Linked DNA regions of Xenopus tropicalis. The protein of the gene in region 2 binds, or shares a complex with, the protein of the main gene of each other region. Links are inferred from orthologs where the notes say so. Each region holds a gene or a part of one and is shown on either strand. Other genes may lie near its edges.

Region 1 (3,822 bases), on a different chromosome or scaffold from region 2:
ATGTGAGTGTATAGATAGGTCAGTATGGGTCTGTATGTGAGTGGATAGATAGGTCAGTGTGGGTCTGTATGTGAGTGTATAGAGAATGTTACAGGGAAAGTATTTGGAGAGGGGCAATGCAGGGGAGTGCTGAGGATAGGGGGGTTACTTTCCTTTACGCATAATTGAGAGTACATCGGAGTAAGGAGAAACAGTATATAAAGACACTTACATCATAAGCACCGGCTTTGATTTGCTGGTATAGTCTGTGCTGATCTTCATCCCAGAAAGGAGGGTAACCAACAAGTAAAATGTACAGGATAACCCCTAGCCAAGATTTAGAGAGAATAAATTTGTCAGTATTCAAATATTGCTTTACCCTTAAACTATATGCGTATAACTGCTCCCACATTTATAAAATAGGATTGAGAAACTTGCCTCAGGTGGCAGGTCCCTGCAGGTTACCGGGGGCCAGAATCATCTATGAATATATAATAGCAATTTAACTAAGATCTTTATGGTTCCGCAGCAATGGAATGCAGCACCAGCAACAGAACGTGAGTGACTGGCCAACAGGCTAAAAGTACTGCATGGTCAAAGTGATGACTGGCACCCCTTACAGCTATACACCCGACATATCATTATTACACATTGGCACTGCTTCATTGCAGTCCATGTAACTGAGTTACCTCTGAATACATTGGTACTGCAGGTGACCTAAAATAAAACCTCAATTTTACATACTCTGATTTTAAATTTTCTCTCGTTTTACATTATTATTTGTGGTCCCACCAATATATAATGCATTTTCCTGCTTTAAATTTTTCCTGGATTTTACACCATCTTTTCTGGTCCCCTGGTGGTTCCACTGTAATTTTAAAAAGTCTTGCATCAGCTGCATTGAATAAGAAGTGATCTATACCCTCTAAACCTCATCAACAATTCTTTATGGTCAGCTGCACTGAATTTAATGCATGTGGTCAAGTTATTTAGAACTATAATTGTCTTTAAAAAGAAATAGTAGGTTGGTTGTGAGTTTGCATTCTGATGAATAAAAGAATCTTTTAGACTAACTTAGAAATTGTTTCTGCTTAGGAATGTTAAAAAAAGAATCATTTGTTCAGTAGACATTTTTAACAGGAAGGGTTAAAATCTTTACCACAGGCCCAGAGATCCACAGCCTTTCCATAGGGGTCTTTCCTTAGAACTTCTGGGGAGAGATAGCCGGGCGTTCCTGCAAAGCCTGTGAGAACCAGATACATGTCAGTCTCCAAACCATGATGCTGCCATGACCCCTCGATAGGGTTTTTAGGGCAAAAATTTACAAAATACAAATAACTGATAAAGTACTATTTAATAACAGATATTTGTAGTATTTATTTTATTATCTGTAATGACCCCATCCTATCACCCTTCATTTGAACTTTGCGGGTTTGTACTAGGGATCTCGCAAGAGAACTGAGCATTAAATTGTTCCTTGGTAGTAATAGTCTGGGTGGGCAAGGATATCATTATTATCATCAGCATATATTGACAGCACATTTTGTAGAGCTTTACAATAATATCACAATAAACAGTGGGCCTTACAGAAAATAGCAAAGGTTAGCTCTGTACTTCACTTACCAAACCAAGCCTGTTGTTCGCCTTCCACCTCAATGGCCAGCCCAAAATCTGCCAGTTTGACAGCTGCTCCCTTTAGTTTTGAAGCCAAAAGAAGGTTCTCTGGCTGTGCAAGGGAAAACAAAGGAAAACAATTAAAACAATGTGTAATTTTCTAAAACAGATAAAATAGCAAACTGCAGCAAGAGTTTGTTGCTGTTCTACCAACTTTTTTATATCATGGTGAATGGAGGGAAGAATGGAGAGAATTGGAGAATTCTAGTTACCAACTGCCACCTAGAATAGAGATGTGCATAGGACATAGGTCCAAGGGTCAGGCGGCTTAGAGAACATTTTGAGCTTGGGGTTGTGGTAGGTTATTTTGTTTTCTGAAGGACTGAGGAGGGAATGGGCAAAAAACACAATCTGCTTTCAAGTAGCTTGGCCTGATTATGGCAGGTGCAGCAGTCATCATGATAAAAGATCAATGTAGGTGCACCTTAGTGCTATGGCAGAGGGAAGCCAAGGACAGTCTTGGTATAAAATTGCACTTTGGGTAAAAAAACAGAATGAATTGGTATGTATGGTATTTAAAAAGGAAGACTGTGATGAAAGAACAGAGTGTGTGATGGCTCTTTACTGCAGTTGCACATACACCATGTTGTAGATATTGGTGTAGAAACACCCTGATGAAAGAACCAAGGGAATAATTTTATTACATTATTGCAATATAGTACATGTAGAAACATCATACAACCAGGGAAATGGAATATGCTCTCAGTATGCAGAATGTGTAGGGGAAACATGATGAAAGAAAACTGGAGTATGGGGTGTGTGACCAATGAGGAAAACTGGAAAGACCCAGAGAATGATGCAGGCAAACATGTACACAAGGGTGTCTGTATAGAGGCAACTGCTGGATTCATACTGCCGCTACCCTCACCTTCAGATCTCTGTGCACTACCCCCATCTGGTGACAATGCAAAACTGCTTCTAGAATCTGCTGAATGCAATGGCTGCAAAAAAGAAAGCAAAAACAGGACATTACATTGCTCTCATTACGTTAATAGACTATTTGGCAGTCCCAGAGGTTTCATACTATACTCCGCTAGAGGCTTTGGCCTTGGTTAATTAATAAAAGAAAAATACTGCACATTAATGAACACTAATAGCACATATGGCCATTTGCCCTGACTTTTCTATACTAAACCAGTACCCCCCCCCCCCCCATATATAATAAAAGGCCCAAGTGCTGTCACCCATAGAAACTAATAAGATTTTTTTTTACACATGTAATCAGAAACTTAGAGCCTTTTATTACATTTCCTCGGTGGAGTTACCGATGTCTTACCATATTGGGCAATATTGGAAAATTGGCATATCTGCTCAGTGGTTACCCAGAAACACAGGTTTCATAACCATTGGGATTTACGTTATTTCACATTGTCTACAAAGATAACCAATCCCTGTCATTGTAGTGAATGCTGCCAATCTAGGCCAGGACTGGCAGTCTGGGGATTCTGGCAAATGCCAGAGGGGCTGCTGTTAAGATGCCATAGACAGTTACTATTTATTTGACCAATTGGGTCTATGTGTAATTGAATGCCAGGATCTGTTTCGAATCCCAGTCCAGACCTGTGCCATTTAAAAACAAAAAGTAATCCCCAGGATTGGCTTAGTTACTCTGTAGGTTTAATCATTTCCAGATAAAATGAGAATTGGTCCTGTAATCTGCAGCCTGAGGCATCATTTGTATGCTTGTAACCTGCATAGTGTGCATTTTGCACCCAAAACAGCCTTCTGTCTTGTTAAAGGAAAACTATACCCTCAAACATACCCAGTAGTTCTCTATAAAAATATATTGCATAAAGCAGCTCAAATGTAAAACTCTGCTTCACCTAAATAAACCACGTTTATAAAAATATATTTTTTAGTAGCAAGTTCCTTTGGGTAAGCCAAAATTACCATTTTAAATACTAAAGGCTGGCCCCACGGTGTACACAAATAAACCAAGGGCACACATACTCGTTATGTCACATCAGCCAATTAATAGACTGTCTTTTACTCCCACACTACTTCCTGTTACACCTGCATGATTTCCTGTCAGGTGATCTCCGAGAGAGCCCACAGCCCATCACTAAATGGTGGTTCAAGGGAAAGAATGTAAAAGGGCAATATTTACTGATATATATATATATATATATATATATATATATATATATATATATATATATATATATATAT
Region 2 (4,607 bases):
TAACACCTTTAATTAATGGATATTTACCAGCAACTGACTGCAGGGAAATTTAAGCTAACTAAACTGCCCTTGCAGTCAGAAATGATGCCTCCAGAAATGATAACAAACATACAAGAGCCTCAAGATACAGATACAATTGGGGCATTTTAATAAAAGGCACAAAGTCTGCCCATGGCTAGTCACCCATAGCAACCAATAAGGTGAATAAGATGCCTACTTTTAAACAGATGATCAGTAACACTACCTACTGGTTGTTTGCTACAGGTGACAAGCCTTGGGCAAACTTTATACAGTACATTTAGCTCCACAGCAATACCGTGAATCAAAGATTGGATGGCTCACTTAAACATAGTTGCCAACTTGCACAAGTGCTGTTGCCTATAGCAACCAGTCAGGACTTTACTTGTATTTTCTAAGTTGTTGTAGACTCTGATTGTTGGCTGCTGGCAACTGCAATTTAGTACCTATGCTCATGAGTCAGCCCCTTAGTCCCAAATGTCTCACTGGTATTAAATTAATTAGATTGTTAAAGAGCACCAGAGATTACATAGACATATATCACATTGATTTAACTAGTTTAAGGTTGGGGTGTTTTTAGCTAAGTGATGACACAATCTTTGTTAAATGACATACATAATGATACACATATGATTATATACAAACACATAATTGGTACTGTATTGTTAATAAGGCGCAGAATTTTGAACATATTTGTCATTCAAATTCTCCACCATTCACCTTTTAGGCTAAAGCACTGCAGAAAGTCAGCAGTAAGACCTCATTCTTGCAGTAGGACATACACACTCTGTATTTCTGTCCATGTGGCTCAGGGTCACTTTGGCTATACCCACGGGTACACTGTTATGGATATTATTTTGCACGACTTTGAAGCTGATGTAATCAAACTTTCCATAAAGGACTAAAATGTTAATGGGTTCTCTAGAATGATTCCAATGGTTTGAAAGTGGAGCTGCAAAGTAAAGATACAGTAAATACAGTAATCAATAACTACAGTAAGTGCCTAGAGTGTTCCTTATCCAATCATTCAGCAACTATACAACACGCACACACAATAAGACATTTTATAAGTAAATATCGACAGAGGGCAACCTGTTACACAGTAGTCTTAATACCATTTAAAAAAAGCTACTAGTTAGAAAGGATATTATGCAGGAGATATTTAGACTGTTTCTCCATTTGTACACAATGAGCCAAATCTACCAGTCAGGACATTAGCAAACATACTGATTATATAAAGAGCATGCCATGTGCTAATGTTCAAATAAAATATTGAATTATTACCCTTTTTTCACATGCCTGAATATATGCTAAATACAATACAAATTTGGTTTCTCATATAATGTCTTCTGTTTGTGGGTCACATGGTAAAATGCAAAATGTTATTTCTAAGATTTTTTTCCTCCATATATTGTCATAAATACCTTTTTAATATATCATTTCAATTTAATTCTTCTACAAAATGTGTTTAAGCAGTGAAGAGGTGGGCACGGTTCCATAAATCCCCATGCAGTTTTTATATATTGTATAGTAAGACATGAAAATGTGGGTGACTGCAGCATGTGGAGTGCAGGATTGATCACTTAGGCTCTGCATGCGCATTGATTGCCTAAATCCGTATTCCATATATAGAAACACAGGCCCAATGGGATTTGGGAAGAAGCACGTCTTTCTACCACAGAAGCAAAGGATGGTAAGGAGGGGGCAGAGTGAGAGAAATGAGCTTTCATTTGGTGCTCACTATACAGGTTCTTTAAATAGAAAACGCATTCCCGTGGTAGCTCCTTATTAGCTATATACCAGTTACCATCAGTCAACTGTCAAAGGCATGGGAACCAGACAGAATCTCCTTCAGATTTACTGATACAAGCATACTGCACTAAAGCCCAACCTAAGCATGTAACAAAGAAAGAGAAAACCAAGCCTTTTTGCCTAAATCTCTGAAGTAGGTTACAAGAATTTACAAGAGCCAGTTGAGCAGGGCTATATACAGTTAAAGCCCAGACCATTATTAAGAATACTGCAATCTAAAAAAGTTTATCTATTTATATGCATAATGATCAGTTGGCATGGGAATGTGTCAGTCACTACACGCATAGTCAAAAGGTCACAAAGCAGCACACATCAGTTCTCCATGTTCTGACCTCTCCACTATCCTAAGCTCTAGCCAGAAAGGTTACTATAAGCACACTCCAACATTACTATATGGCAGTGATACCCAACCTGTGACCCTCCATCAAAACTGCATTTCCCAGCACACCCAGGTAGTCAAAAGATGCCTGAGAATGCTGGGAAATGCAATCAAGCAACAGCTGGAAGGGTGCAGCCTGGGCATTCCTCACCTTTCCCAAATGCATGCAGTAATCACAGCTCTTCTTATTCCTCCTGAAACAATGGGAAGCTACATATATAGCTTCAAATCACAGAACAGTATTTACCCATAAAATTATCTGCGGACCAGACGTGTTAATAGTTACAAAATTACAATTCACATACACCAGTGTTATATTTGATGCTTTCTCCATTGCTTTTGTGTTCTATGAAGTGCAAATTAGGACTGTTGCCATATGGCATTTTGCCACCTTTCATTTATGGAGGAGGGGAGGGGGGTGAATAATGTCACTTTCCAGCTTACCTTAACTGTAGCTAGGCAGCAGGTACCCTGCTGTCAGATGTATTGCTATTTCCAGCAGCACCATATTTGAATGATCATAACTACAGCATACCCAGCAGTAATATGCACATATTCATCATGAATAACACACAGACATGTGAAAAACCTGCAGAATATTCCTTTGCACTCCAGCTGATTGCACCCCTCTACATGACATGGGAACCCTCCTGCATTGGAATGGGGGTTCCAGCCAGTAGCCCCCAGCGCCGGGCTGATAGTCCTGTCAGGCAGGGAAACTTGGCTGGGAGAGCGCACAATACTCACATTGGAGGGACGATAAATTGCCCATTAGGCTCCAGCGAAGCTTTGCGGGCGCTATTCCTAGGGTCTCCGGGGTGCGGGACGGGAAGGAACTGAATCAATGGCAGCGGCGGCAGCAGCTCATGGTGCCTAAAAGATGCCCTTCAGGTGCGAGCATGGGATGCCCCCCATAAGGCTGGCAAGAGCAGAAGTGTGCACGTAAGGGCTCACACAAAGTCCACTCAAAGGCATATCACCAATCCATCCCAGTGACAGAGATCAGGGCCAATTTGCCAGCGCGTTAGTTAGATCGCACACGTGATTGCCAGACCCCGTGTAGCCTCTAGTCCATGTCTGCCTCGAACGATCTGCAGGGAGCAGCACAGATGGGAATCCGAAGCGTCTCGGCTCATCCTTCCCTACCTCCATACAGGTGCATCACTCAAGTATCGCACCCTGGGATCCAGCTCCCAGCCCTACTACTCGCAGCATAGACCAGCGACTAGGAAATCAGTTCCAGTGCGCAGGAAGGTGCAACAAACCAAAGCTATAGCCCCGAACTGTCAGACTACAAGCAAGAACCTGGCCCCGCCTCTCTACCTGTGTTTGCTGCAGCGGGAAGACCAGTGCTCATTAAAAGCCCATGGAAGCGGCACAACTCACAGAGCTCGGGCAGAACAGAGTGCGCTAGTCGCTTTAGTCTGCCCAGCAAAGCGTCAGTGTCGGGAAAGCCTTGTGGGCGTGGCTTCATTATGCGCAGGCGCAGGCGGGGCCGCAGGTTCCTAAAACATGAAGGCAATGGGGAGCTGCTGTCCTAGGTGCTGACATGCTCTCCTGGGCTGAGTGAGGGACGTACGCCGGCAGTCAGGGCTGTTCTTTTGCTCAAGTCCTCTTTTAGGACTATAACATATGTTGAATGTATTATTAGTATGCCGACAATTTAGCCACAGTTCAAAGAACATGTAAGACAGCATTCACCCCAAAGCTTACTCAAATTTACCCTTAGCCTGCCAATGCTGCACACGGGGATCAAGAGGAACAGACCCTCAGTTGGAGAATCTATTGCTTAAATAGATGTTAAAGGAGATAGTGTGTGAAAACAAGATTGTGCCAGTGCATTATACTCCTCTAAATTAATTAGGACCTCACTGGCCCCCCCTGTGACTGCAGGATCTGCTTCCTATATAGTTATGCCACTGAGCCCCACCTATCTGTGCCACTTCCTGCTGTCTCCTTTCCCAGGCTGTGCAGGGGAGCCGGTGGCACTCAGCACACTGCACTGTAGGCCTGTCATTGCTTGTGTGACTGCTGGGCTGTGATTGGCTATTGCCATCCTACTGTGCTTCTGGCAGGTACTGTTTTGGCATGCCCATTCCTCAATGGAACCAGAGATGGTCTATAGGGAGCTCCAACAATACATAGATAATGATCATTTTAACCCATTGTGAAACCAGCACCATATATAATTTATTATAGGTGGTTTCCAGGTCTGGACTGGGATTTAAAATAGGCCCTGACATTTCAAGTACACAAAGGCCCAAATAGCCCCCCCCCCCTCAGCCCTATAAATTGTCTGTCTGGGGCATCTTACAACAGTACCTCTGGCATTTGGCAGAACCCACAGATTGCCAATCCATGCCTTTGGGTTTCAAATTATGCTATATGTCTCCCTTAA

What was found.
Region 1: the proteins of lrrc7 (region 2) and camk2a are in contact, whole or in part, in a crystal structure (PDB 6X5G), measured with the Homo sapiens proteins. The link is inferred for Xenopus tropicalis from reciprocal best matches to the Homo sapiens genes LRRC7 and CAMK2A. Residues at the interface, in NP_001357714.1 of Homo sapiens: His843, Gly844, Arg845, Arg846, Pro847, Leu848, Ile849, Arg850, Gln851, Asp852, Arg853, Ile854, Val855; in NP_001350919.1 of Homo sapiens: Glu96, Phe98, Glu99, Ile101, Val102, Lys137, Glu139, Leu159, Phe173, Ala174, Gly175, Thr176, Pro177, Gly178, Tyr179, Leu180, Ile205, Gly209, Tyr210, Pro211, Pro212, Phe213, Trp214, Tyr222, Gln224, Pro233, Glu236.

Annotation. Positions count from the first base shown.
Region 1 is NC_030679.2:21,001,492-21,005,313, reverse strand, and holds part of camk2a (calcium/calmodulin-dependent protein kinase type II subunit alpha), read right to left. Parts: intron 2,595-3,822; coding exon 2,522-2,594; intron 1,706-2,521; coding exon 1,603-1,705; intron 1,223-1,602; coding exon 1,139-1,222; intron 307-1,138; coding exon 212-306; intron 1-211. UniProt on the Homo sapiens protein: Calcium/calmodulin-dependent protein kinase that functions autonomously after Ca(2+)/calmodulin-binding and autophosphorylation, and is involved in various processes, such as synaptic plasticity, neurotransmitter release and long-term potentiation.
Region 2 is NC_030680.2:83,029,462-83,034,068, forward strand, and holds the start of lrrc7 (leucine-rich repeat-containing protein 7), read right to left. Parts: upstream 3,120-4,607; 5' UTR 2,982-3,119; coding exon 2,957-2,981; intron 1-2,956.